Linked DNA regions of Drosophila melanogaster. The gene in region 1 interacts genetically with each later gene. Each region holds a gene or a part of one and is shown in the gene's direction. Other genes may lie near its edges.

Region 1 (8,059 bases):
GGCTCCTTAACCGAATATGCCCATTCCGCTCGCTTGCGTACCAGTTCCTTCTTCTCCTGGTCGGTGCCGTCCTTAATATACTCCTGGGCTAAATCGAACATACGTAGATCTGTGTACATTTCAAGTGCTCTTGAGGACTGGCCGCATTTGAGAAATAGACGAGCTGCCTCCTTGAACTTGCCGGCAAAGGCGCAATTCTCTGCGAGAAGTACCTCCTTAGGAACCGCCGATCGCTGTTGCTGATCTCGTAGCTCACCGATGAGTTTGAGCCACGGAAGATTCCTCACCTTGACGTAGGCATCGCGAGCGATATTTATGTGCAGTGCCTCCAGAGCGGATTGAGCTAATCCCTCCCAGTCGCTGGTGGTCACGCCCAGGCAGGCGACCTGGTAGGCTTCGCTGAAATAAAATATAACATCTTTTATTAGGAGATTCCAAGCAGAATTGGAATATGTCTTACTCAAACAATCCAGCTTCGATGAACTGCCACATGGTGGAACCGAGAGCCAAAGGCGTATTGTGCATAATATTTCCGCGCAGGCAGAAGGCAGTGGCTCCGCAAAGCCCCACCACCACGCCATGCATGTTCTGTGGTGCCCTCGGCGGCAGATTCCCCACGCGAACGCTTAATCCGCCTGTTGTGTGGGTATAGCAGAGCATCGAATCCAGGTGCGTGTTCCAAGTGACGCTGTTTACACCCGTATCCTGGTACAAAATTGTATCGTTGATTACGTCCCGCACAACCAAGCGACCCACATCGTCCACAACTGCGATCTTGCTGCGCTTCGAATTGATATCCAGGCAGCGAACCGCTGACACCGCAGTGGTGATGAGCAGTGGTAGTGAGTTGTTGAGAAAGATTCGGAACACTTGGCCGTTCTTCAAGCCCACCATTAGTCCTTCTCTTCCCACGGGGCCACCGGTGACTTTGATGTATCTTATGAACGAGTCCATGATCCACTCGCGCTGCAGGACACCCATGAAATCCAGACATTGGAGACGCTTCTCCTGGCACAGGACAATGTGACGGCCACAAACAACCAGCAAGCTGCAGTCGAACTTTTGCTGGATCTTCTCGCGCACTTTATAGTGCATGGGTTGATCCTCTCCAGAGCTCAGCTCATAGAGAACCACACGTTCCGGCAACTGAACCGCCAGTCGATTCCGATAAATGGCTATTTTCTGAACTAAATCTCGACACTTGATGCGCACCTTTTGGCCAGAGATCAGGTGCTGAATGATCACGTCGCACATGTTTTCCCGGAAGGCATAGCGCTCGCGGTAGAGGGCATGCACGGTACTAGACGCAATGTTGAAGCAGGCCAGGGTTCCATCTTGACACCCAATGGTGTAGGATTGACCATTGGGATGTAGGGCAACTGTCCAGATCCAGGTGTCAAAGGTATCGCCCAACGTACCCAGCCGAATGCCCTCCCTGGTGAAGAAGTGTAGACCTCCAGTGCAGCCGCCCACCAGGCAGAACTCCCCATTGGGAAAGTACTGCAGGCACAAGGGATCAAAGCCCAGGGTTCGCTCCTTGCCAATCATCTGGCCGCTCAGAGTGTGAAAGGATAGCGTTTGGCTCCAGTCCACCACACCGATGGTGTCCACACTGCCAGGACCGCTGGCCGGACAACATTGGACACTGAAGACGTTGCTGTTGGGCCCACCAGGCCGATCGATTCTCCCCTTCTCCTCGCCCAACTTGTTCCTAATGGATATGGTGCCATTGGCCAGGCCCAGGATCAGGTACTGTCCATCATTGGTCCACGAGCAGCCATTGACACGCGCGGATATCTTGTACTTTTGCACCGCCTTCTGATCAGCCGACCAAAAGGCAAAATCCGACAAGGAGCACGAGGCCAGGTGGTGCGAAACAGGATTGAAGCTCATGCACTGTATGGAGTCACCGTGCCTATGAATGTAAATATATTTTTATATTTATATAAAAAACTAGAATTTATTGCAAGTGTGCTGAGAACTCACGAATACTTGAGCAGTCCCTCAAGCTGAGGTGACCACACGATGACCATTTTATCGGAGGCTCCGCTGGCGAACCGCTTGCCATCCCGCGAGTAGGCCACACAATTGACCGTATCCTTGTGCGCCTTCAAGGTGTTCAGCAAGGAGCCATCGTTTGGATCGTAGATGAGCAACCGATCCCCCGCAGCCACCACCAATTGGCTGCCATCGGGTGCGTAGCACACATTGTGGACACTGGAAAATTGGGTTTTGCAAATACCGTTATGGCGTTATAGCAAGCAACAGGTTGTTGTTTTCCACGAATGAGAAAGCTTTACCTGATCTCATTGTCTTTGCTATTGGGAAACTCTATGCGTTCCAGCCACTTGAGAACACCCCTCATTGTTGCAGAAGTCGAATTGGCTAATCCTGCATAGTTGGTAGAAATTCCTAAATGCAGGTGCGTTGTTTACACACAGATTCCATGGCAACCAACCACAACAAAAGTTGGCGTCTTGGCTGGAGATGGCAGTTTGGCGGGTTTTTCCGTTAGTTTTGGCTTTTAAAACTAGGACTTGACTAATAAACTAGTACTAGTAGTAAAAACAATTTATTTAAAACATAGCCTCATTATCGTTTACCTAATTGTCTAAGTGTACAATATTTAAAAAAAGTTTCTATTACTATCTGAAATGACCGTTATAATTTTTTTTTTCGTGCAAAGTAGTTGGCAACGCGGTAATTGACAGTATGACCAAAGCCAGTGTGCATAAATGCCTAGTTTCGTCAAAACAAAATAAAATAGAATTGTTTTTTATATCAGAACTATTGTTTGTTTTTAAAGGATTTTAGCTACATATACGCTTGAAAATGAACAATTTGGACAGTTCATTGCAGGCGCACAATAAATTGGAGAAGGTATGTCTAGTTGTCATGCTCAAAACCTCCATACTTACCCATTTTCCTCATAGGAAGCCACCAATTTAGCTCTGCTGAAAGATCGAGTGGATAAATACCATGATCTGTCCACGCAAATGTCCAGTATTCTAACAATCTTCGAGAAGCGCCTGGGAAACCTGGAGCAGACCATATTGCCCGTCTACCAGGAGACGGAGCAGCTCCAGAAACGGCAGCAGAGTATGAAAATAAACTCAATGGGATTTCAAAAAAAAAAAACTAATGTGTCACCGCCTCTTTTTTTTTTTAGATCTGGAAGCTACTCTCAATTGTCTGGAAAGCGTCCTGTCCCACTACGATGTCTCCCAAGAGGTCTGCCAGTTGATTCATCAAGGCCCGGTGGAGGGAAACATCTCGGTGTTCCTCGACGCACTAGCCAAACTGCGCGATGCCAACGATTACTTCCGGCACAACAATTCCCAGAGCGTGGAGCTGGAGAATGTCACCAGTTTGTTTAACACCGGCTGCGAAGGCCTGAGTCAGCACTATAGTATGCTCCTCAAGAAGCACAGTGCTCCGCTGAAGCCGGTGGAGTTGCTGGATCTTATCTACATAGAGGACGATTCCAGCGATGAATACACCTCATTCCGGCAGCTTTCGCAAACGACGCGCGAGGAGCTGTACACCATATCGCACTGGTTGGAGCAAAATTTAAGGGAGTACACAAACATCTACGCGACGGAACGGGGCGAAGTGGTTCTCCGATCGCTGCAGCTGCTCAAGGATCACCAAAAGAGCAACAGTTGGGGTCACGAGGCTCTGGTGAGTAAACAGTTCTTTCATATTCTAACTAGTATTAATACATATATATTATGTGGAGAAAAATAGTACGTAGTAGAATATGAATAGCGATGTGTACGATGATGAGCATATGTATGCTTTTCCCATCTCTGATCGTTTCGGTTAACGGTGTCTGTTCGAAAAAGCTTGTGCATGTAAGCATTACATGTCCAATTCGATGACCGCCATTTGCCAGCTTGAATTCGCAAAGAACGCATCATTTTCTGTGTCACAGTATCTAAAAAAAATGGAGAATTCTCGCACGCCCACGAACAAGACCAAAATTACGCTTAATCGCACGCCAACGCTAAAGGAGCGCAGATGGAACACCCTGAAGGTGAACACCTCCAACGTGCGATGCTCTACTCCGATCTTTGGCAACTTCCGTTCGCCCAATCTCTCGCCCATCGAGAATATGGGCACGAAGGGGAAGAGTCCAGTGTCGCCCATGCGGTTCGCTACCTTCAAGAAAGTGCCAACGAAGGTGCATCCCAAGCAGCAGCAGCAGCAGCAGCATCAGCACTGCCATCGCACTCAGCTTAAGCCCCCGCCATTCGTGCTGCCCAAGCCGCAGGAGGAGATCATCGAGCCGGAGCGAGAAATAAAGAGCTGCAGCAGCCCGGATACCTGTTCGGATGACTCGAATATGGAGACCTCACTGGCCTTGGAGTCGCGTCGTCGTTCCATCAAAGCATCGAACCACTCGTACGTGGTTAACCATGCCGCCAATGTGGAACAGATTCTCATGCACATGGGCCTGGAGAACTATGTGACCAATTTCGAAGAGGCTCACATCGATCTGGTGGAACTGGCATCCTTGGAGCGTGCTGATCTTGTTAAAATCGGCCTAAATACCGATGAGGATTGCAACCGTATCATGGATGTGCTCCACACTCTTTAAGTGAATCGCTGGCATGTCCATCTTTTATCATACACTAAGATTTTAAAATGTTTTATGTGAAGAGAAACTTTGTGATTTTAATATATGTGGATAATTAAGTAGGTATTCTAGAATTATTGTAAAAGACCTGGTGTCTTAAAGCTCGTCGTTTTTAGCCTTAAATAATAAACTCTAGTACACTTTAAGAATCTATGTAATTCCTAAAATGTTGCTCCGAAGCTCATTTACAAATTTAAATTTATTTCGTAAGCTAGCAAATTGCATAATACTTTTTGTCAAAAAAAAAAAAAAAAATTGGGGTATAAACGCTTTTGTAAAACACACATTTTTAAAATTAATAAACTCATAAGAATCAAATGCATATTAAAAGGTTACAAAAATAAGAGTTTTTAATTTGCTACCATTTTAGTACCTTAATTATTCCGAAGAAACATTAATGCAATGGCAATTAACAATTCAAATTAATGTTTTTAAAATGTTTTCTTGCAGAGACCGCGACACAGTGGACGCCAAACGGAGCCAAAAAAGACAACCTCCGCTCGTCTTCAGCAAATGTGAGAAATATTACTTAATTTCCAAGTTTTCGTATATGATATATTTAATTTATTCTGCATAGATTCGAAAAGAAGGCGAACAAGTTATATTTACGCGCGACGCAGACGATTGAGCAGTCCACAGGGTTCTCCATTAAGAAGGCATCATCGCACAGCGACCACCTGACCTCCGAGGATTTGATGGATGGCGATCAGGAACTGGACAAGTATCTGGTCATGTTGCTGGGACTGCAGCGGTTACTTAACTGGGAGCGAGCCATCATGATCGACATTATTCCCCAGTCGAAACACAACGAGGTATTCGCCACCTTGGCCTATAATGCCATCGATCTGGTGGTTAAGGACGCTGAGGCCATTACGCAACGCATCCTGCGCTGCATTTCCCGCAAGGAGTGGACCTCGGCGTTGGGAATATTCTCCGCCCTAAAGCGGGTTATACTGCTGCAGCCGGATATTGACCGCACATACGATCCTGCGCAAAGGGAACAGTTGAAAAAAGTACTAAAAAAGTTGCAGCACACCGGTGCCAAGGCATTGGAGCATTTCCTGGACGTAGTCAAGGGCGAATCGAGCACCAATATTGTGGGCCAAAGCAATGTTCCAAAGGATGCCACCGTGCACGAGCTGACCTCCAATACGATCTGGTTTATTGAGCACTTGTACGATCATTTCGATGTTATTGGTTCCATTTTGGCACAGGATGTCCTGTACTCCACGCAATTGGACACCATTTTGATGAAGAAGGCGCTGCCAGTCGAGGAACGCAATAAGGCGCTCTTGGCGATTTACATAAGTGAGTGGCAACAAGATCAATTGTGCGAACATTTTTAAACCACTATCTATATTTTGCAGAGAAAGCTTTGGCCGAACTGAATCTTTCCATAATGAACAAGTGCGAGCAGTACAATGACCAGGCCACCAAGCACCTCTTCCGACTAAATAACATTCACTATATCCTCAAGTCGCTGCAACGCTCCAATCTTATTGATTTGGTCACCTTGGCTGAGCCTGAGTGCGAACATAGCTACATGGAGATGATACGTGAACTGAAGGCTAGCTATCAAAAGACCTGGTCCAAGATGCTGGTCGGCATCTATTCCTTGGATGAACTGCCCAAACCAGTGGCCGGCAAGGTCAAGGATAAGGATCGCAGTGTGCTCAAAGAGAGATTTTCTGTAGGTTTTTATTTTTAAAATAAGCTAAACTTTCTTGATTTAAAAAAAAACATCCTCTATAATTTCCAGAACTTCAATAAGGACTTTGAGGAGGCATGCAAAATCCAGCGGGGCATCTCCATACCCGATGTGATCCTGCGAGAAGGCATCAAACGTGATAATGTGGAGCACATACTGCCCATCTACAATAGATTCTACGAAATGTAAGCGTATATAGGGTTTATCAGCTTATACCTAACCATCTTGTATCATTTTTAGTTACTCTGGAGTGCATTTTAGTAAGAATCCCGACAAATACGTCAAGTACAGACAGCACGAGATCAACGCTATGCTGAGCAAGCTCTTTGATGATTCGGCTTAGATGTTAAATGCAGGCCAGGCTTTAAGTGCATTCCTTGTAAGTTCGTTGGGGGGCTTTAATTCAAACTCAATAAATATCGTTTTAAAAAAAGTACAATACAAGACTATAGCCTACAAATATTAAATGCCAAGTGAAATGAAGACGCCACGCATACATACGTCCTAGTAAAGGAAGTTAGTGGATGGTGCTTCGGGGCGGCCACAGGCGCCGTAGTAGTTGACGTTCACCGTCTGGTTCGCCCTGCAGTTTTCGATCTCCAGGAAGCAGTCGTTCAGATACGTTTTATTGTCGCTGCCGCAAACAGGCTCGAATTCCCTGGGACAGATGCGGGCACATCCTTTAAGCTGAAAGGCGGCAAGGCAGCGCTTCAGTGGCACCACGAAAACATGCTTGCCACAATTCTCCTTGCGCATGTGGCACTCGGACTTGTACAAGTTGTTGTCCGATCCGCAGACGAAACTTGGCGGCTGGGCATCACAATCCGATTCGCAGTCGGCGGTTAAAGCGCAATTCTTTAGCGAAACGGGCACCACACGCAGATCGCAAGTGCGCCGCTTGAACTCGCACATGGAGGCGAAGGTGTTGCCATCCGAGCCGCACACTGGCTGCTGTTCCAGATCCGCCCGAGTACAGGCATCCCCGCAATCCTTGGTGGGCGAATTGAGATCCGTGCAGGGACCAATGTGGGCCAGATTCACGCCGCGTCTGAAAAGAAGTTGAAGAGCTAGATCCATGTCCTATGGATGATCCTATCATGGATACTCACAGGCAGGTGGCGTGGGCCAGTTCGCACTCATTGTTATAAGTCTTGGCGTCCGTGCCGCAGAGCTTGTCATTTCGCTTCGAGCTGAAGATGGAACCGAACAAGCTATTGAAGTCCTTGCAAGGAGGCAGCTGTTTGCAGCGGGTCAGTCGATTCTTGCACTTGTCCATGCTCACTTTTTGAATGGACTTGCGCTGTGGACTGAAAGATAAAATTTTAGTCTGGTTATATTCCATTTTTATCTCATCCAAACTCACCCGCAATTGAGCATTTTGAGTTCACACAGCGAAGAGTATATGTTGCCATCACTGCCGCACACGTACTGCGACGAGGAATCCGTATCCGATTTGGGACACTCCGTGGGACAGGCATCGGAGGCTCCGTGCCTCTCCTGCGACATGCAGTAGGATAAGGGAACCTCAAAGACGTGCTTGCCGCAATTGGAAGAGCGCATCTTGCACGGACTGGCATACAGTCTGCCATCTGATCCGCAAGTGGGCCTCGCCACACGCCAGCAGGATTCCCTGCACATTCGTGTGGACTGACAGTGCTTCCGGCTGGTTTTCACCACACCCTGTCCACACGTCTTCAGCTTCATCTCGCACG
Region 2 (9,394 bases), on another chromosome or scaffold:
AGTGAACGCGCGCCTGGCGTGACTGGTTTCTAGGCTTTCACCCCACGAAACTGGAGCTAACAATGGACAGCGAGTCGTTGGCCTGTTCGTCGGTGGAGAAGGACCTGACCCGAGTGGTCAGCAAACTGGAGCAGCTTCACGAGAACGCAGAGGCGGACATCGGAGATATAGCCACACAGATGTCGGAGCTGGTAGAGGTTCTCAGCAGGGCGGAGCAGCTGGTGACCACTCTGAACTCGAGCACCCAGGTGTCCCAGGACGATCCCATGGGCGATGCGGTGAGCATGCAGGTGGAGACGGAACCGACGGCACCACAACGCCTAACCGAGCGCCAAGTGGAGAGCGTCCGGAATGCTCTCGCCAGGTGCCACGAGCGCGTGCAAAAACTGTCCACGGAGCACCGCGATCTGCACGGCTCCATTTCGAAGATCGGCAAGGCCATTGACCGCAACTTTAGCGCCGACTTCTCGTCCACCATGCGAGTGGACGTGCTGCAGGACGAGGAGAACCTGATGTTGCTGAACAAGGCCATTGCCAAGCATTATTGTCGCCAGGGCATGGACGATGTGGCTCGCACGCTAATCCGCGAGTGCAAGATGTCGCCGGAGCATGCCCAGGATGTGTTCGACTCGGAGCGCGAGTTTGCCGACATCTACGGCATTTGGGTGAAGATCCAAAAGCGGGATCTGACTGACGCCCTCAAGTGGGCAAAGATGTACTCCCAGCAGCTGAGTGACCGCCACTCGCTCATAGAGTTCCGGCTGCACCGCATGCGTTTCATGCAGCTGGTCTCCTACGGATTGGACTCGCAGCGCGAGGCCATCTCCTACGCTCGACTGAACTTCAAGAAGTTTGCTGTGCGCTATGAGCACGAAATAGCCAACTTGATGGCCAGCTTTATATATCTGCCCAGTGGACTGGAGAACTCGCCTTACAAGCACTTCTTGGGCCAGGAGAAGTGGACCGAACTGTCGTTCATATTCCTCAAAGACGCATGCCAACTGCTAGGCATTAGCAAGAACTCCGCCCTGTCTGTTGTGGTCAATGCCGGATGCACTGCCCTGCCCGCCTTGCTCAATATCAAGCAGGTGATGCAGTCGCGCCAAGTCCTTGGCATGTGGAACGGCTGCGACGAGTTGCCCATTGAGATCGATCTGCAGCCGGAATTCCGATTCCACTCGATCTTTGCCTGCCCCATATTGCGCCAGCAGACTTCCGAGGACAATCCGCCGAAGAAGTTGACCTGCGGTCATGTCATATCCAACGACGCCCTGCACAAGCTGAGTGTTGGCCACATACTGAAGTGCCCCTACTGCCCCGTGGAGCAGAATGCCGAGGAGGCTGTTCGCATCTACTTTTAAGCCACATCTATGTATTCACCTTATGATAATCACCACTGCTTATATGACCAGGCTCAGGCGGTTCGAGGACTGGTGTTGGTTGGCCGGCTTTCCTTAACAAAACGTAACCATTTTAAGATAGCTTGCTTAGATTCATGTTTTTAGACAAATTCGCAGAGCGGAATCGAACTGCCTGGGCCGTCTGTTTTGCGTGTGTCCCACTTCCTAACAAACGATTTAGATTTAAAATTATATATACTGTGTATTTAAAACAAACGACGAAAGTGTTTTTATGTAGAATCCATGTTTAATTAAATACAAATCGTCCGAAGAGCAGACACTCTAGTGCCTATGTTTGTGCTTGTGCTTGTCGCTGCGATGTCTCGGCGGCGATGGCTCTTCTCTGCGAGAGGAGCGCGAGGAGGTTGGAGAACTGCGTGATCGCGACGATCCGGAGGCAGGAGTTTCGTAGCGGGAGCTGCGAGACGACCGCTCTGTATACCGCTTCGGTGAACTGGACGGACTACGCGACCGATTGCGTTTCGAGGATTTGGATGAGCGCGAGGTTTCGGGTGAATAGTCACGTCGTTTGGATTCGCCACCAGAGAACGGCGAGTGGGATCGTTTGCGGGAACTGCTTCTGAACAGCGCTGGACTCTCACTCACCTTGGAGCTCTTGGATTTTATGTGCATGTAGCTGAGCGGGGAGTCTACAGTTGCCTCAGATCGCGAGTCCTGTTCGTTCGCAAAGAATTCAGTTGTTACATCCGACTTACTGTATGTTACAAATCTTACCTGTTTAAGTAATCGCTTCCGGAATTGTTCCACTTGTTCGGGGACACTCCAACCTGGTTCCAGGCGGCGCTTTCCGGACTCCAGTTCGTCCTGGTACTGAATTGCTTTCGACTCAATGTCTCTTAACTTCTGACGCATCTCGTCGGTGTACTTTTGCGGATTGTCTTCTCCACTGTCGTCGTCCGAGCTAAAGAACTTCGGTGGATCTGGCGGATCGAGAGTGTCCCATTTGCTGGTGGTAATCGCCTGCGCTTCTACTTGCTGGGGATCAACTGTCTCCCACTTTGAGGGTATGAAGCCAGGCAACTTAGCCGTAGATTTGGTTTCTTTTTCCAACGGTACACCGTCGAGATCATCATCCACTGGAATTAAGGATTATTTACTTAGTAGTAAGAAGGTTTAAATCACTTTCTTATGCTTACATGGTATGCCATCGATTTCATCGAGGTATTCATCTTTCTTAGGTGTGTCACGCTTTGGAGTACCAGCATCTGCATCAGGTATGGCTCGCTTCAAGGCGCTCTTAAGCAAAGCAGCTCCATCTAGTGGCACTCCGTCTAGATCCTCGTCGTCCTTTTCCTCTCCGGAAAGGGGCGCACCGTCGATATCTTCGTCCAGAGCCTCATCAAATCGCGTTTCCTCGGCTTGAGGTGAGTTATTGACTGGCTTGACGTACTAAACACAAGATTCCATTAGACTACATGCACAATTTGAAATGAATTTCATTAACTAACAGGTTTGCCCAAGAATTTGGCCGTCAGCTGGGCCATAAAATCCTTGGGATAAATGGTCCATTCCTCCCATGTGCGGATAACATTGCAGACTCTGGATTTAAAGCCCTCAGCTTTCAATCTACTCTCGATGTTCAAGTAGTAGTTATGCAGGTTATCAAAGATGTCCAACAATTGTTTTTCCACACTAAATAATAGGGGATATTTCAATGTGTATGCTTTGATAAACATATATACATACGATTTACGGAAGAACGAAGCATTCGCAACTTTAACAGTGCAGTTGTGCAGTATATCTGAGATCAGATAAAGTCGAGCAATCTTCTTTGAAGCCAATGTATTGATATTTGACAGAGACTCGGCGATGCACTCGCAGATTTCATCAGCCGCATCTGCGTGCTCAATGCAGAAGATCATGGCATCTCCAATGCGGGCGCGTTCAGGAGTTAAGTGCCTAATCAAATCCTCGAGTCGGTTGCGTTGCCTATTTCAGTATACATTTACAGTACAGTAAACATTTATGTTTCGAGGATTATCTATGCTAAACGTACGCATTGGACAAGGCTCCTTTGTGCACCACAGGAGCATCGGGATCAACAACCAGCTCATCTGGCATGCCTTGAGTGTAGAAGTTGGCAATCGGGGGCTTCCAAACCGGTCCGTTTTTAAACATACGGAATTCCTCCTCCCGCCATTCATTGGGCGTATCGCCCTGTAGCAAAGAGAACAGCTTCCATCGGTAGTAGATGTGGGCAGGACTCTCGTTGTCGAAGAGGAACGCAAAGAGCGGATTCTCCATTTCCCGAATCATGATCAAAGCCTCAAACATCGGTCCCTCGCGTATTACAAACTCGATCATCCGATGGATAACATTAAGAACAGCCCTGGAAAAAAAGAAAAGCACAGTAACGTGAGTTCTTGTTAAGTGAATGTCCTTGGTGCAATTCATACTTCTCTGTGGGTATATGGACTTTAACGACGCATTTGGCAAGTATCTACAAAATTGAACATTTTCATTTTTATTTCTTTAGACGCTAGCAGGTGATTATTCACTTACCCGCTCCATATTCTCTTTGTCCTCTTGGTTGAACTCCTTGTAGTTTTTCTTGGGCAGCACATCAGCTTCACTGGGTGGAGGTTGGGCATTGAAGGGCAATCCTGAAGGAGGCGGAGGCAGGGTCATCTCAAGCAATGCTTGCGGTGTAAAAATGGGCGTATTCATTATGGGCACAGTCTTTCCTGAAATATTAAGTAAGATGTATGAGGAATAAGAACTTCAATATAAGATCTATAGATTACCCCATCCTAGACGCATCTCGTAGCCCATGATGTAGCGCCCGTTCAGTGTCTTTAGGGCCCTTTCCGCATCCTTGCGGCTCATGTAGGCCACAAAGCCGCAATTGCGTCCCCTTTGCTTCTCCTCTTCGGAGCGGGGCCACATGATCTTGATACTGGCCAAGGGACCGTATCGCCCAAAGATTTCCATAAGCTGCTGCTCGGATATCTTGGGGTTCAGGTTGCCCAGGTACAGGTTTGTGGTATTTGGATCGCCCGTGTCAAACGAACCAGACTCCTTTGAGCTGCTTGAGTTCTGGGAGGTGGTGGAGACACTGCTGCTGGGCACAGGAGCAGCTGATGCAGCCGGTTGCTGTGCTGGTGCGGAATGGCTTGAGGCCATGTGCTTGTACTTGTGGCGCTCCTCACGCTCCTCTTGAATCCTGTGGGCATGAAACAATTAGTATGGAATACACACATGCACAACCAAGTGGGCCTACTGTCTCAATTCCTCCTTGAACAGCTCCAAGTTGCTCTTTTTCTTCTCCTGGTTTTTCTTCTTCAATGGACCCGAGTCCTTTTTGAGATCCGAGGCCAGGGTCTTGGCGTAATCCTCGACCTTGTCCGAGGAGCTCTTTTCCATCAGCTTGGAGACCGGCTTGTATAGCTTGCCCTTCTCCGACTTGTCCTCCCGCCGGGATCCTGCATCATAGGTGCCGGCTTTGACCCAAACTTTCGAGGAGGGGGTGGGTGCATCTTGGAAAGTCTCTACGAACTCTTTGAAGGCCTAAAAATCGTATTGGATTATAATGCGTGGAGGAGGGATTTGCTAGAGGCGCCTACATGTGCCGCAGCAGCTGCATCCTCCTTTTTTTTCTGGTCCTCGAGCTCTTTTTTGGACAATTGTCGTTTGGAGAAGGTGCCCACCGTGAAGGCCTCCAACTTCTTTTCGCTTATCCGCTGAAAACAAGACCGAAAAATGTTAGGCTCGTTTTTCCGGCTACACAGGACACCTTTACTTTTAAAGTGGCGGATGCGGCAGCCGAATCCTTGCTTTTATTCCCTTGTTTACTCATCTTTTCCACACAATATGCACATTATCAGCAAATACGAAAATAGGAAAACCAACAATTTGCCAGTGTGACCGACGTCGTACAACCAGTGCACAGAATGAACAGCGAACAAATCACGATGCAGCCGATAGTTGCGATGGGAGTTATCGACAGAGCTATGTAAATGACTACTTTTTATTATAGTTTTATCAAATAAATGCGAAATGGATATCTGCCGCCTCTGTTTACGCGGAGTGAGCGGCGCCCAGATGTGTCTACAGATCTTCGATGTGGACTCGGGCGAGAGCAAGGTGGCGGAGGTGCTGCGCCAACATTTCTGGTTCGAGGTAAGCTGCTGCCCTCCACCCACTTTTGTGCCTGGGAATCTTTTTTTACCACCATCTCGTCTCCGGAACGCGTACAGGTACTGCCCAACGACGAGATATCCAAGGTTATTTGCAACGTCTGCTGGACGCAGGTGTCCGAGTTCCATCAGTTCTACGTGTCCATACAGGAGGCCCAGGTGATATACGCCACCACCTCCAAGTTCAAGCAGGATCCGGAGATGGTGAACACCTCCTGGCCGGAGGAGGTGCTCATGCCGGCCGACGTCCTTGCCGTCGACAACGATGTCGGTGCGCAGATAAATGTGAATCCCCTGGACGAGTTAGACCTTAGCCAACCCATGTCCCCGGAAGACAGCAAGGTGGGCATCAAAACAGAGCGACAGTCACCCGACATGGAACTCCTCTTTGAGGATGCCAACAATGAACAGGATGAGGACTACGAGGACGACGAGGATGATGACACCGACGACCTGATCGTGACCCGGAGTGGACGCAAACGTAAACGGGACGTGGCCAAGCCGGCTAAAACGAAAAGAGGAACGGTGTCGGTGGGCAGAAAGGGGAAGGAGAAGATGGTGGTCAAGCGGGGACCGCCCAAGAGGATATTCAAGATGGAACGCCTGCCGCCGTTTTGCAAAGAGGACGAGGAACTGATCAAGCGCTACATAGTCATGGGCTGCGAGCTGTGCATATTCTTGGCCGAGGACTTCGACGGCATCCGCGAGCACTTCAAGGACAAGCATCCGGACGAGCGGCCCTACATCAAGTGCTGCGGACGCAAGCTCAACAAGCGCTGCCTCATCCAGGAGCATGCGAGGAGGCATGAGAATCCCGAGTACATCAAGTGGGTCTCTCTTACCCAAACCAATTCGAAGCGATTTGATAATTAGCTTTCCTTTCCGACAGATGCAAGGACTGCGGAAAGGTGTTCGCCAATTCCAGCGTATTGCGTGCCCACTGGCTGGTCCACCATGTTCCAGACGAGGAGTGCGACTTCCAGTGCGAGGACTGCGGCAAACGCTTCTCGCGACGCAACCTGCTCGAACTGCACAAGGGCTCCCATGTGCCCGTAAATGAGCGCAAGTTCATCTGCCCGCAGTGCCCCAAACACAATGCGTGAGCCTCGCCAGCTAAACGGCAGTGTTTCCAATGCTTATCGTTCTCCTTTCACACCACAGTTTTGCCACGGAGTACCACATGCAGGTCCATATCAGCATGCAGCACCGCAAGGCGGCCAATATCTGCCATGTGTGCGGCAAGAAGATCAAGGACAAGGCTGTCTTCGAAAAGCACGTTCGCCTGCACTTCGAGGAGAGCGGACCACGGATCAAGTGCCCGCGTCCTGACTGCGAGAGCTGGCTGAAGGACGAGGACAATCTTAAGCAGCATTTGAGGCGCCACAACGACGAGGGCAAGCTGTTTATCTGCTCAGAGTGTGGCAAGAGCTGCAAGAACTCCCGCGCGCTGATTGGTCATAAGCGCTACTCCCACTCGAATGTGATCTACACCTGCGAGCAGTGTGGCAAAACCTTCAAGAAGGACATCAGCCTTAAGGTTGGATAATACATATTACCCTTATTTATTTATGTGTTGTATTAAAGCGATTGATGTTTGCAGGAGCATATGGCGCAGCACACTGGCGAGCCACTCTACAAGTGTCCCTTCTGTCCCCGCACCTTCAACTCCAACGCCAACATGCACTCCCACAAGAAGAAAATGCATCCGGTGGAGTGGGACATCTGGCGAAAGACGAAGACCGGTAGCTCACAGAAGGTCCTGCCCAGCGCCCAAGTGGCGCAAATGTTCCGGGACGATGCCGATGTCGCAGCTATTGCCAATGACTATTCGGGTTAGGCCCGGAAATGCTTAAGGAAATCGATTTGCGGAAACCATTGCTTAGTTTTTGATTGACCTTTGTTTGAAAACAAAATATATGTATAATAGGAATTATTTGAAAGTACGAGCGGTTTGTTGTCATATTGGTGGGATTTTTGGCTATTTACATTTTAATTAAGTTTTTTGAATTTAAATGTTTCATTTAGCTACATTCAGAAATATTGTTTTTGAATTTAAAAAATTTACAGTGTGAATGTCTTGAATTTTTCAATTGGAAAAAAAAGGTATGATGGTTGAAGTATCCGCTTTGTTTATTACAGTAGACTGGTCACACTGCCAGCTGCTAAAATAATAGAAAACAGTCTGCGTGGACAAACATTTAATTAAAATGAATGTAAGCACTTTATTAACGAAATCTTTGGGAATATTTCGCTCATCAGCATTTTATTTGAGCAGGAGTCCGAGATCCCCATCGACATACACACGCTGAAGCTGCAGGACTGGCTGATCAGCCGCAGAATTGTGCCCAAGAATGTGCAGCAGGAGCTTAGGGAGATCCACAGGAAGATTAGCAACGCCCTGCAGGACATGCCCTCCAATGAGCAGCTGATCAAGCTGTTGGCCCGGACAAGTAGGTGCCCAGTGCCCAGAATGCCATCCCACTAATGTGTCCCACTTGCAGATATCAACTACTACCATGTGAAGGAGATCATTGAGATCCTCAAGCAGACGGAGAAGGACACCAAGAGCGTGTTCGGCACCTACGGCAGCCAGCGCATGAAGGACTGGCAAGAGATTAGCCGCCTGTACGAAAAGAATGCCACCTACCTGGCCGAAACGGCTCAGATTTTCGTGCGCAATGTGAACTACGAGATTCCCGGAGTGCGAAAGCAGATGGCCAGGCTGGAGCAGCAGGCGGACGAGACCCAGAAGCGAGCGCACGATCTGAACAAGCCCGAGAGCCAAATCCTGGCCGACCACTCGGCTTTGCTGGAGCAACTGGGCGTCAAGGGCGACAATCTGCATGCCGAGTTCGTCCAGGTTCTATCTGGTCTACCGGAACTATACGATAAGTCGCTGGTGGGCATTGCCAATATTCAGCCGGGCATCGACCTGTATGCGGAGGTCAGCGGCAACAAGCAAGTGCTGCCTATCCTGAACCACCTGGTGGAGTTTGGCAACACCACCGTGTACCAGTACATCCACAAGGAAGCACCCTTGGCCGTCGAGGAGCCGCCCATTCGGCTAAATCTCAGCGAGGGCAACGCCAGCAAGGATGACAATGCTGTGGCCGAGATTGACTTCGGAACGGATGACAACGGCGGAACTTCGTCGACCGTTTCGGCTGAGATTATCGACTACGGGGACTTCGGCAGCGGGGATTTGCCGGAAAGCGACGGCGGCAACATCGACTGGGGCATTGAGAGTGCACCCACCGATGCGGTGGAAATCAATTTTGACATTCCCGTCGAGGAGTACGGCATCGTGGTGGAGGGCACCGGCATGGATGGCGGCACTGCCAAGGGTAAGTTCTTTTATTATACTCGATTTTATGATGGTTAATGGTTTGTTGTTCCAGGCGATCAGGCCTACACTTTGCTGGACTCACCCAACTATCGCGATCGCTTCCTGGACGAAATCTACGAACTGGAATCCTTTCTACGCATGCGTATCTACGAGCTCAAGCAGCTTGAATCCTCCAGCGACATCATGTTCTCGCTGATGGACAACATTGCCACCCACGACGGTGAGAGCATCTGGAAGATACTCGTGTCCGTGGAGAAAATAATCCAGCAGACATCCGACAAGCAGACGCAGCACCTCTTCCAGCTGAAGCACTCCCCAAAGTATGCCAATATGCTGGCCACCAAGCTGCAGCAAATGACAAAGGCCGTGGAGAAGCTGCGCGCCACGCGAGAGGCGCTCAAGCAGTTGACCATCGAGCTGCGGGAGCAGCGGCAGGACCTGAATCCCGTGCTGGAGGAGCTGATTGCTCAGACTCGCACGCTGCAGTCTCA
Region 3 (12,667 bases), on another chromosome or scaffold:
GGGTGAAACTCTTCGACAATTGTTGATTATACTTATATATTTATATATACATACATTTGTATATATGTATTGTATATATACATACATTTACATGTATAAAAAGCAATGTTGAGCAGATTTTGAGCCGCGAAAATAACTTATTTTGCACTAATTCACTGGCTTAATTAATGAAGATTATGATTATATTGTTTGTACCGGATCCGCCCAGAGTGTATATGTTATGTTCTTAATAGTCGATTTGTCAGTTTGTTCCATTGAAAATTTGCATTGCCAATTGTTTGTGTTTCATATTTAATGTAGAGTTGACTTGCCAAAATTACTTATGCCCAACAAAATTACTATTCAGAACTTAAAACTTATATGCATTACGGGTCATACATTTCTAGTCCTAATTTAATATGATATGACTTTTAGAAAACACTATAATTAATAGAAACTCTTCTATTGCAGTTATTCTTATGTCGGCCACTATTGATACAACGAAATTTTCCAAATATTTTGGCATCTGTCCCGTATTGGAAGTACCCGGAAGAGCATTTCCCGTGCAGCAATTTTTCTTGGAGGACATTATTCAGATGACAGACTTTGTGCCTTCGGCGGAGTCGCGCCGAAAGCGCAAGGAAGTGGAGGACGAGGAGCAATTGCTTTCCGAGGACAAGGACGAGGCGGAAATCAACTATAACAAGGTGTGCGAGGACAAGTATTCACAAAAGACTCGAAATGCTATGGCCATGCTATCCGAATCGGACGTTAGCTTTGAGCTGCTGGAGGCATTATTGATGCATATTAAGTCAAAAAATATTCCCGGTGCTATCTTAGTATTCCTGCCCGGTTGGAACCTGATCTTTGCGCTTATGAAGTTTCTGCAAAATACAAACATTTTTGGTGATACATCCCAATACCAAATTTTGCCGTGCCACTCGCAGATTCCACGAGACGAGCAACGCAAGGTTTTCGAGCCTGTTCCAGAAGGCGTAACCAAGATTATACTTTCTACCAACATTGCAGAGACTTCTATAACTATTGACGACATTGTTTTCGTAATTGATATATGTAAGGCGCGCATGAAGCTCTTTACTTCACATAACAACCTAACCAGCTACGCCACCGTTTGGGCAAGCAAAACCAATTTGGAGCAGCGCAAGGGCCGAGCTGGACGTGTCCGACCAGGCTTCTGCTTCACACTCTGTTCGCGTGCCCGCTTCCAAGCGCTAGAGGACAATCTTACGCCGGAGATGTTCCGCACACCGTTGCACGAGATGGCGTTGACCATTAAATTACTCAGACTGGGCTCCATTCACCACTTTTTGTCAAAGGCATTGGAGCCACCTCCGGTAGACGCAGTAATCGAAGCTGAGGTGTTGCTTCGCGAGATGCGCTGCCTTGACGCTAACGATGAACTTACTCCATTGGGGCGCCTGCTGGCACGCCTCCCAATTGAACCAAGACTTGGAAAGATGATGGTCCTCGGCGCAGTATTTGGCTGCGCCGATCTAATGGCCATTATGGCTTCGTACTCTAGCACCTTCTCAGAGGTGTTTAGTCTTGATATAGGTCAACGTCGCCTGGCAAATCATCAGAAAGCGTTGAGTGGTACCAAATGTTCCGACCACGTGGCAATGATTGTAGCTTCACAAATGTGGCGGCGCGAGAAACAACGCGGTGAGCATATGGAAGCTCGGTTCTGTGACTGGAAAGGACTGCAAATGAGTACTATGAACGTTATCTGGGATGCCAAGCAGCAGTTACTGGATCTCCTTCAGCAGGCAGGATTCCCAGAAGAGTGTATGATATCGCACGAGGTAGACGAAAGGATTGATGGGGATGACCCCGTGCTGGATGTGTCCCTGGCGCTGCTGTGCTTGGGTCTCTACCCCAACATTTGCGTGCACAAGGAGAAGCGCAAAGTGCTGACTACAGAGTCTAAAGCAGCGTTACTGCACAAAACCTCGGTGAATTGCAGCAACTTGGCCGTCACATTTCCGTATCCGTTCTTCGTTTTCGGCGAGAAGATTCGCACGCGAGCTGTTTCCTGCAAGCAACTATCTATGGTCTCGCCCTTGCAGGTGATATTGTTTGGATCGCGCAAGATTGACTTGGCCGCCAACAATATAGTGCGCGTTGACAACTGGCTTAACTTCGACATAGAGCCGGAACTTGCGGCCAAGATTGGTGCCCTTAAGCCGGCCCTGGAGGATCTTATCACGGTGGCGTGCGACAACCCTTCCGACATACTTCGCCTTGAGGAGCCCTATGCACAGCTGGTCAAAGTGGTCAAAGACCTTTGCGTTAAGAGCGCCGGAGACTTCGGACTGCAGCGTGAATCAGGAATTCTGCCGCACCAATCACGTCAGTTCAGTGACGGCGGAGGACCGCCCAAACGAGGTCGCTTTGAGACAGGACGCTTTACTAACAGCAGCTTTGGTCGCCGTGGAAACGGCAGAACTTTTGGAGGAGGATATGGAAATAATGGAGGAGGATATGGAAATAATGGAGGAGGATATGGAAATATTGGAGGAGGATATGGAAATAATGCAGGAGGTTATGGAAATAATGGTGGATATGGAAATAATGGCGGAGGTTATAGAAATAATGGTGGAGGATATGGAAACAATGGCGGAGGATATGGGAACAAGAGAGGTGGATTTGGAGACTCATTTGAAAGCAATAGAGGATCAGGCGGCGGCTTTAGAAATGGCGACCAAGGCGGCCGCTGGGGTAACTTTTAACGGATACATAAAAAAAATGTATTGGTTTTTTCAAAAACAAAAAGAATAATAAACATTACTATTCGCATTTCGATATGCTGAAGGGATTATACAAATAAGACGCATTGAATCTTTTGGTTTTTTGGCATTAAATACGCATGTGCGATCCGAATAGATTCACGAGTTAACGTATGTAAATAGTAACCAAATATGATAGTTCCGCTGACATTCCCTAACCTGTTGCATACATACATATATTGCTGGAATTTCGTTTGTGAAGGCGTGGAAATCGTTTATTGTCACAAAATGAGATCAAAAACATTCATTCTATAAAGGCTTTTGGTGAACCTGTGTAATCATTATTTTTTATCTCTGCTAGCATTTTAGACGATTACTGATTTCGCAATTAGACCTTTTTAAAACATATGTCATGACAACAATATATACAATAAAAAGCCATATATATGCAAAACATATTTCGTGCCTTATCAAAACTCGAAGGGAAAAGAAAAATTAATTATTGTACAGATATGGCGGTGATTTTAAAATATCATAATTTTCGAAGCAATAATGAAAGTTGATCAAATAAATATTAGATCACAAAGATTTGAGGAGCACCAGAAATGTAATAGTAACTGGAGTAAGCTGTTCTTACGCTTCTTTTTTACTGGTCAAGATGGTGAGCTTCGTTACCAATTAAAAGTGGTGGTCAGTGATGACGTTGTGTTGCTAAGCAATTCAATTTTTATCGTATGTATTTCGGCTTCAGTGAGAACAGTTTTTCAATCGAAGTATCGATACGACACAATTAAAAATATCGAAAGAGCGTAGTATCATTCATCTCTAGCATTTGCTTCGGCGCGTAGTTTTTGTTTAACCGATACAAGACAACCAAAAGTTTCAGGTCATTTGCTTGAGGAGAACGATATGGACTTTGACAATGCGAAAGAGAACATTCAGCCGCTGGCCAGCGGTCGCAATGTGAGCCTTCTGCAGGCTTCTCTTAGCCAGGACTCCACCCACGGCCAGGAACTGCTGGCACAACGCAAGCAAATGGAGGAGGAGGTGCGCACCTACAAAGGCGCGGATCCTCTCGGTGCCTGGTACACGTTCATCTGCTGGATCGAGCAGAGCTATCCGGCGGGGGGCAGTGGCTCCGGTCTGCAGACTGTCCTACACCAGTGCCTCACCAAATTTGAAGACGACGAGCGCTACCGTCAGGACAAGCGGCTTATAAAGCTTTTCATTAAATTCGTGAGTAGCCGATGATATTTTAAACGATCACTCAACCACCGATTTTACTTCGTCACTTTTTAGATGGAGAAACAGAAGGACAAGATCGAGTTTTATCAGCAGATGTACAACAACGGGATCGGAACAATGCTGGCAGATTTCTACATTGCTTGGGCCTACAGCTACGACCTGAGCGGTAACATGCGCAAGGCCGACGAGATCTTTCGCTTAGGTCTAGAGTGCCGCGCAGAGCCCTTAGAGGATCTGAAGGAGGCCCACCACCACTTTGGCTATACGGTGGGCCAGCGCATGCTCTACAGCACTGGTGAAGAGGCCAACGCAGTAAACCAGGAACTTAACGAGCGACGGCTAGCACTGCAATCACTTCATGGTCGCCGGCAGCAGATCTCTAACAGCATCACCGTGGGCAGCATCCGTACCGGAGCAGCAGTTAAAAGCGGCCTCCCAGGCGTGGTTCAGGTGGGTGATTTTTTATTTCATGTTTACAAAGAACTTGGTTGGCTAGAGAAATCGGTTTCAAGTATAATTTTGCTTTTATAACTTATGTTTGATGCATGTTTAATGACTATCTTCTCTAGAATTCAGAAACAACAGAGAACGATAGAGAACGAGTCGGTTTCCTTGACTATCAGGTGCACCTTACCTTAATTTGTATTTGTATTTTATTAAACGGCTTAGGGTGAACCTGTCCAACTTTTTGGAGATCCCGCCGTTAAGCTCGATTTTTTCTAAGGGATTTTAAATCCACCTAAGCTTTTATATCAATATACAGTAGTAATAAAAAAGGTTTAAATCGAATAAAATTTCTTTAAAAATATACATTGTCATTCTGCAGGTCGAGCCTTCAACCACCACCAGTAGGCGCAATGTAGGTCGGAACGTTGAGGTGTTTAATGACGAAAATTCTGAGGGAAATATTCCGATCTCTAATTCTGAGACGGAGGTGAAGTCAAGCCTGCGATCCATTATCGACTCGGCTTGCAGTCAGGAGAATATAAAAGAACCGGTGGCCTGGAATAAGGCAAATGCTAAACGCCACAAACATGGAAAAATTTTCGGCAGTAACGCCTCGCCGGATCTGGGCTTTGATATACACGTTGACGAACAAGCAATGCCACCTATTACAAACTACGAGCGTCGTCTAGAACAACCATTTAGATTTCCGACAAACTTTGTGGCCAAGAACAGGCCTCAGGAACCGTGGGTGACGCCAGTTACTATTGAGGACGAGCCAAACGCAAGTGGACTGCCTTGCTATAACAAGTGTCTCCTCTACCCCCGCCCCAACATCGAGTTCTCGCCCGAAGAGTATCGAGCCTATTCCTTTTTGAAGCATCGCAACCCACAGCATCCATTTATCCATCGCAATGATGATTGGTGGGGCACTGGACGGGTGATCAGAGGAATTCGCTGCTATCCGAATTTCGCCAGATATTCTAAGCCACAAGATCTCGATGAGCTAGACAAGTTTTGGAAACCCCCACTGGTACCGGGCCTTCAGGTAGTTTTTGACAAAATTTACAACGAAGTTGAGCAAAAGGAGTACCAGCCAGAGGAGTTGTTGGCAGCTAAATGGATGGAAAAACGAAATGTGACAGTTCATGGTGACTTTGACATGGAAGAAACCGTTTGCTTGCCCGGAAACAAGATGCCACGCCGCAAGAGCTTCTTTCCCTCTTCCTTCAGAAAATCCATCATGCCACGCAGAGTTTCGTCTGTGCAGGAGGAGGATGAAAAGAAAGAGGATGAAGCCACTTTGATTGTAAAAGATATACCTTCTCAGGTGGCACCTAAGATACCTGAATCGCCGTGCGATCAAATAGATGAGCCAAAAATTAAAATATTTGAGGATTCCGGTTCTCCACGTGACAATTTTGCTGTACCGGCCGTTCCTGTTCCGAAAATAGAGATCTATGAAGACTCTGAAGAGCCGCAGCCAACTCCAAAAACAAGGCCGTTTTATGACGGAGATGAGACCTGCTCCACGCAAATGTTCAACATGTTCATAAAGTCGCAGGCAGTAAGCACTCCTAAGGGAACACAGAAACAGGCTCCGTCACGTCAATTTGGAACCGTGCTCAAAGAACTACCGCTACCAGAGGAGGCTGCTCATTCCGTCGAATCTCCAGTGGAGACTCGTTCTCCAACTTTGCGAAAGCAACTATCTACCATATTGGAAACCTCTGAGCACGGCACACAAAGCTTGGCGACGAGCGGTACCACCACTAAATCCACTATTACCTCCACGTCTTCACCCGGATCCAATGCTGTTTCTAAACTAGGCAGCAAGATTGAAGAGAACACTCCTGGACAAATGCGTCTGCAGCGCGTGATAAGTGCTGGTGTATCAGCAGTCCTTTCCGAGCCGGAAAAACCGGGTGGTGACAACTTTTTGCGCCGTGAGTTATGGGAGCCCAATGCGCCTAGCGTGCCTATGCTTAAGTCGTTGCGCTTCCAAGAGGATAAGACAGAGACTATCCCAAGACCTCTTGCTTGCTTTCAGGAAGATAAAACTGAAACACTCCCACAAATGCCGATCGCACTGCCGGAGAATTCTATGGATCATGGCTCACTGGGAGCTGAAAATTGTTTTTCCGCACCGCAACTTCCCACTTTGGAGGATGAAAGCGATTTGTGTGGATTGTTTGGAAAGACACCGCCGAAAACAAATATTTTTGGCTCTCCGAAGCGCAATTTCGATCCAACTTCACAGCTTTTTAAATCGACACAGGGCGATCGGAGATCCTTCGCAGTGACTGGCAACAAACTGGAGGCTGCGCCCAGCATCAGCAATCTGCAGGATTCCTTTATGTGCGACCTTTCCTTTGTGCCCGAAACGCAGCCTGAAGCTGTAGCAAAATCAGGGGCGATACAGAAGTTTGATATTTTTCTGGACGACACGCAGCCAAAGCTCACTAAGTCAAAACCAGTAGCTTTAATGGTCTCCAGCTTTGACTTAGACTGCACGCTGCCCGAAACGCAACAGGTGGCAATTAAGGAGCCAGGGACTCAACAGGAAAATATTGGGCACTCCCATATGATTGCCTCGTTTATGAAAGATTGCACAGAAATAGGCAGCTGTCCTTCACAGATGCCGGCTTCCGTTGTCAAAACGAATATTTCAAGCACATCGAATAAGATCAAATTTTCCAACGATTCCATGTCAGAATCGTCAAGGAAAGCCCCTGTGAATGAAAATGTCGGTATTTCAAAACAACCTGACGAGTTTTTCGAGCTTAACGCAGCTACTGAAATGTTTGCAACAAATATCAGTATGATAAAAAATTCCACACTGCTGATCCCTAACGCAAAGGTAGCAGAGGCGTCGGAACTAAGCATCTACTATAAGACAACTCCACTGACGCCGAAGCAATCGCACCGTTCCTGGTCGCAGTCTGATTTAGAAACTCCTCCGCGGGAAAACTTTGTTCACCCCACCTCAAACGGAGATCAAACTGTTTTGAACGAAACGCTGGCAGACGCTAATAAAAACCCTTTCAATGTAGAACTGATCAGCTCGCTACTCGAATCAATTGACTTTTCTATGTACATCGAAAAGCTGCCCCATTGTCAACTGGTTGGACACGTTAAGCGCCTACATCCTAACACCCACCTGGAAGTGCACAACGAAAAGTTTGAGGTGTCTAAAATGATAGGAAAGGGGGCTTATGGCTCGGTTTATGTAGGAAAGCATCTGAAATCTGGCAAGAAGGTCGCGCTCAAGCAGGAACGGCCCACTAACTACTGGGAGTTCTACATTTGTCTAGAGATTCACAGCCGGCTAACTAGTGAGCAAATGGTAAGGCATAACTAATAATATATGGACATTAAATCCGATTTTTCAAATAGTTTTTATTCCAAGTTTATTATCCTAGAATATTACCTATTCATATCATATAGAGGGATAATTATTAATACTTGTCACATGACACGAATTAACCGAATGCAAATTCTTTTACAGATTCCATCCTATGCACATATTGACTATGCACTGGTAGGAAATAATTCCAGTGTATACATCTCAGAGTTTTCAGACTATGGTTCTCTGATCGGTGTATGCAACAAGGTTAAGAGTGTCACTAACAGGAATATGGACGAGTATGTGGTAATGCATCTGAGTTGCCAAATGCTCGATATTGTGGATCACCTGCACGCCATGGGTATAATCCACGCCGACATCAAGCCGGATAACTTTCTACTTATGAAACCGTAATAACCAGAAAGCTTCTTCGTCAACACCAATAATATCACAGGTTTTTTCTGTTTCAGGATATGTGCGGATCCCAACGAAGTCAGCCTGCAGCTTATTGATTTCGGTGTGTCTATTGACATGAAGCTGTTTCCGGACAATCAGACATTCAACTATGTTCATCATGATGACCTATTCAAGTGCATTGAGATGAGAACGGGACGCCCATGGACTTACCAATTGGATTTATATGGTCTCGTAAGCGTTATGCATGTGCTGCTTTTCGGCCGCTATATGGAAGTAGTGCAGCGGTCTCCGAGCACGATTTGGATGCCGAAAACAAACGTGCCACGCTACTTTCAGCGCACAATGTGGGAAAACATCTTCCGCACTCTGCTTAACATTAGAGATTGTCGCACCATGCCTAATCTGCAGCAACTGCGTACGCAGCTTAAATGTGCGTTGGCCGAAAAGGAAAAATATGTTGCCGAGGCAATCAGCAAGTTTAACACGATATTGCAGAAATAGCTGTCTTCTTGTGCAAACATAGTAATATAAACATATTCACATTGCATACCTTAACACGTTCTTGTTAACTGGTTAATGGTTGCTATAAGTAATACGCAACTATTCTGTTTTAAAATTTAAAATAAAAAGAAAAGGTTTTTTAAAAGTGTGTGTGTGACTGTTTTGAAACCGTGGCACTTAACTAATAAAACACTGGCTATTCTAGAATGTGCATCATGGGTCATGGTTATATCGACTCGACTGTTTACCTTGATCAAGAATATAAATTTAGTTACGTTGGAAACGCGTAATTCTGACTGTTGCATACTTTTCAACGAATCTCAAATACCCTTTTATTCGGCGAAGAAACAACGATTTTTGAATCCTCCATTCGTTGCCCCTCATCTTTCAGCTGGGAGACGCTGCCATATACATATGTATTAATGACGGCAGCAGAATATCTTCTCACTAGATGCCATGAAACTTGGTTTATCAATCTTAGGGAAACGAGATCATTTCTTTTAATTGCAATGATTGCGGTAGGTGCTTATGAATCGCGGACTCGTTTGGCAGTCGTTTGTGTATTCCACACAAAATCTTATTCATCTTATTATGCAAGGACATGTCAAATTTTATTTTTGGCGACATATCTTACATTTTTTTCCATTAATTATGTATGTGTATACATATGTATTGATAGCGACACTATTCAATTTAAATAATATAATCATTTAATATGTCACACAAGTGCAAAAATGCATAAATTGGCAACGATGTTATTCTCTTTATTAAAAGTGGTCTATATGCGCAGATACTCGATCTTTCAAATCTCGGTATTTGTTAAAAAAAATGATGTGATTGCTAATAATAAAAAATGATTTATAATGAAAAAATTAAAGTGTTTATTTTCAATGTTTATATACTAGACTCGTTGAAACGTATGTAACAGATAGACGGAAACGTTTTGGACCATATAAAGTATATAAATTAAAAAATTAAATTATACCACAAAATCTAAAAATAAAACGGAAAAATGTACTTAACAAGCACAGCAACTATTTAGCAAATTTAATATTAACTAGATTAAGATATAATTGCATTGTAAACCAATATAGCTGTAGGTCCTGTAGCCAATGCTATACTATTTAAGTTAGTCTAGTTTTGTAAACTATTCTATCTATCATAATAAATAAATATTCCTGATCAGGATCAATCGAATCGATCTGGCCTTGTCTGTCCGTATGAACGTCGAGATCTGAGGAACTAGAAGGTTGAGATTAAGCAGCGCTAGTGTGTCAAGCAAGTTACAATGGATTTGGACCAACAATCCTTTAACATTCGGACTAGTTCTCAAATTCTAGTTCACTTTAAAAATTCAAACTACTGCTATCGATTAACATAATTTTTCTTTGGCAGTGCTAGTGCAGACGGAATATTCCCAATGTCACAGCTTACAACATCGATAACTATCGACATCTAACAACACTGAACACCACTATCTCTAACATTTAAATGTAAACAAGAGCGATAATGAACACAAAGAATTAGCGACGGAATATAGAATGTTTTGGTAGTTTCAAATGTAATGACCAGCAAAACATTCACCAGCAAAAATTCCTATGTAGATGTGTTACGGCATAATAAAACAGCGTCTTTAAGCTTATTGACTTGAACATTAAATCATTGTCCTTGTTGTTTTAGTTGGACTTGCAAGGACATCACATCGAAGATGATGAACTCAGCAGGCTATCTGAATGCACCTCCGTGGCAAATTAATAAATTGAAATATACATACATGTAATAATTACAGAAAATAATTTTCTCATGACTATACATTTTTGTAATTGGTGTAAATTGCTTGGTTAATTATACTTGTGCGCAATGATGTCATAGGTCTAGACTTTCATTGATTATATTTGAATATTATTTACTGAATAGTCATTTCGATAACATTTTACAGGATTTATTAGTTAGCAGGTTTTCATTTGTAATTGTCTGTTGAAGACTTATCTATTTGCTTAAATGAATAACATATGTATATTCTCATATAACAGAGTATCTCTTGAATTGAGTCCACATAAACCGCTTTCTCTTTTTGAAACTAAGCGATCTGGTCTAGCAGAATTTTGGCTAATGAACGATTGTGAGTTTTTACACAAAAAGTCCCACCGCTTACTAGATGACTGGCGAAAAGGGAGTGCGTGTGATTGAATGTTTATATCATGAATGTTTGCTTATAAAAGTAGTCGGTAGACAGTATCAAGTTTGGAATGCGGCAGGTAGCATCCAGCTATCGCTTTGGGTAATCGGTACTTTGATAAAACTTATTAGCCAAAGACCCAATCTTGATGTCTAATTGCAGTCATATACGCTATATGGTGGGCAGAGCTTTAAATGATACGCTCAGACACATTTTAGCTATCGACGCGGTGGGAAGTGAGTGTTTTGCTGACGGCTTAACTATTTTTTTTAAAAACTTATGTAGCAAGAGGCGATTTTTTCTTCCGTTGGACATTTTCTAAGTATTCAAGTAATAAACTGCGTCAACAGAATGAGGGACAACGAAAAAGGTAAATTATTGAATAAACAAACAGTAGTGACGATTAATATAGCTTCTTAACGAACGAAAGTTGTTGCCTAGTACGGAAACAAAATCGTAATTTTACATTACAGTTTATATATGGATTTCAAATCCATATATGTATGTAGATATACGGATAAATACATAAATACATGTACTCAGCGAACTGGTCCAAAAATGATATATGTATGTACTTTGTTCAGCCATAAACATACATATGTATTTCTTGAAAGTAGTTTGTTAATATTATGGTTTAAGAAAACTGTATTACATGATAAGCCAAAATACAAAAGGGAATGATATTGTCGAATTTCCTGACTATCACATACCCATTACTCAGCTAGTGTAAAGGCAAACGCGAAAGTTCATAATTTTTGTGGGATATTTAAATATTGCTTAAAAGTGTGGGCGTGACCGGTTTGAAGGGTTATGGCGTTAGAGCGGGCGTAGCAAAAAGTTTTTTTTTGGAAAATCTATAGAAATTTACAAGACTAATAAATGTGGAAAAATAGCACAAAAGTGGCAGTTTTGTGCGGTTTTTGGGCGTTAGAGGGGGCGTGTCGACATGCGTCTATGTTTCCAGAATCTGTGTGCTGAATCTCAACCTTCTAGTTTTTATAGTTCCTAAGATCTACGGACAGACGGACATGACCAGATCGACTCGGCTATTGATCCTGATCAAGAATTTATATAATCTATATGTTCGTAAACACTGCCTTCTATCTGTTGCACACTCGTCAACGAATCTAGTATACCCTTTCACTTTACGAGTAACGGGTATAAAATTGTATATTGCAATCTTAAAAAATGTTAAATGTTATAATGTAGTTATGAATGATAAAAAACTAAAAAGCATCCTTTTTTAGGGTTAACTCCTATTTACCAGAACGGATTCAGAAAGAGCGACGACTTTCAACGGACTTAAGAATTTTAAAACTAAAGTTGAACTATGTTTTAAATATTTATTTTTTCAGCTTGAAATTCCGAATTAGTCGGGTTCTTTAGCAAGAAACAAAGACTTGAAGTTTCGACTTTACCTGTTTTGCAGCCTGAATACTAGGCCTAAAGCTGTATTTACCACGGAATTCAAATTAAACTTAACGTAATATAAAAAAATAATACCTCAAATCAAGCCCATATATGCCCTTTAAAATCGTTTTAAAACGCCGTATGCGCTAAATAGCTTAGTTCATAAGTCATAGTCACTTCAAAATCAAATACCCGTTTTTCTGGTAAAAAAATATTCTTCATTTCTAATAAGTAGGTTTTCATACATTCATATAAATATATTTATATATATATATATATATATATATATATTATATTTATTGGCCTTTAGCAGGCAAAATCAGTAACAGACCCAGTTGGGATTTTCTATATATCAAGAAAACTATCAGCAATAGAGTGCGTTTTAGTTCCTCGGCTATC

What was found.
Region 2: of mtrm (region 1) and grau, changing one suppresses a phenotype caused by changing the other (phenotypic suppression), as found in Drosophila melanogaster (one study listed by BioGRID).
Region 3: of mtrm (region 1) and BubR1, changing one enhances a phenotype caused by changing the other (phenotypic enhancement), as found in Drosophila melanogaster (one study listed by BioGRID).

The regions. Positions count from the first base shown.
Region 1 is NT_037436.4:8,409,129-8,417,187, forward strand, and holds mtrm (matrimony), read left to right. Parts: upstream 1-3,883; 5' UTR 3,884-3,946; coding exon 3,947-4,600; 3' UTR 4,601-4,975; downstream 4,976-8,059. Other genes in the region: Oseg1 (outer segment 1), read right to left, coding at 1-399, 461-1,915, 1,987-2,217, 2,301-2,365; Exo70 (exocyst 70), read left to right, coding at 2,833-2,880, 2,934-3,099, 3,170-3,681, 5,090-5,154, 5,217-5,947, 6,007-6,329, 6,399-6,532, 6,588-6,690; CG32354 (uncharacterized protein), read right to left, coding at 6,852-7,395, 7,457-7,654, 7,711-8,059. UniProt on the Drosophila melanogaster protein: Polo kinase inhibitor required to maintain G2 arrest in the meiotic cell cycle in females. Holds heterochromatically paired homologs together from the end of pachytene until metaphase I.
Region 2 is NT_033778.4:21,007,869-21,017,262, reverse strand, and holds grau (grauzone), read left to right. Parts: upstream 1-5,341; 5' UTR 5,342-5,417; coding exon 5,418-5,540; intron 5,541-5,617; coding exon 5,618-6,384; intron 6,385-6,446; coding exon 6,447-6,656; intron 6,657-6,718; coding exon 6,719-7,094; intron 7,095-7,157; coding exon 7,158-7,394; 3' UTR 7,395-7,499; downstream 7,500-9,394. Other genes in the region: Sou (souji), read left to right, coding at 63-1,361; CG9346 (uncharacterized protein), read right to left, coding at 1,683-2,075, 2,136-2,497, 2,558-2,810, 2,870-3,053, 3,108-3,350, 3,418-3,750, 3,818-3,861, 3,924-4,105 and 4 more; CG30291 (uncharacterized protein), read left to right, coding at 7,765-7,770, 7,833-8,007, 8,059-8,901, 8,956-9,394.
Region 3 is NT_033778.4:5,965,252-5,977,918, reverse strand, and holds BubR1 (Bub1-related kinase), read left to right. Parts: upstream 1-3,533; 5' UTR 3,534-3,635; coding exon 3,636-3,962; intron 3,963-4,025; coding exon 4,026-4,421; intron 4,422-4,797; coding exon 4,798-7,761; intron 7,762-7,923; coding exon 7,924-8,171; intron 8,172-8,231; coding exon 8,232-8,679; 3' UTR 8,680-8,820; downstream 8,821-12,667. Other genes in the region: mle (maleless), read left to right, coding at 451-2,729; CG7881 (uncharacterized protein), read left to right, coding at 11,210-11,228.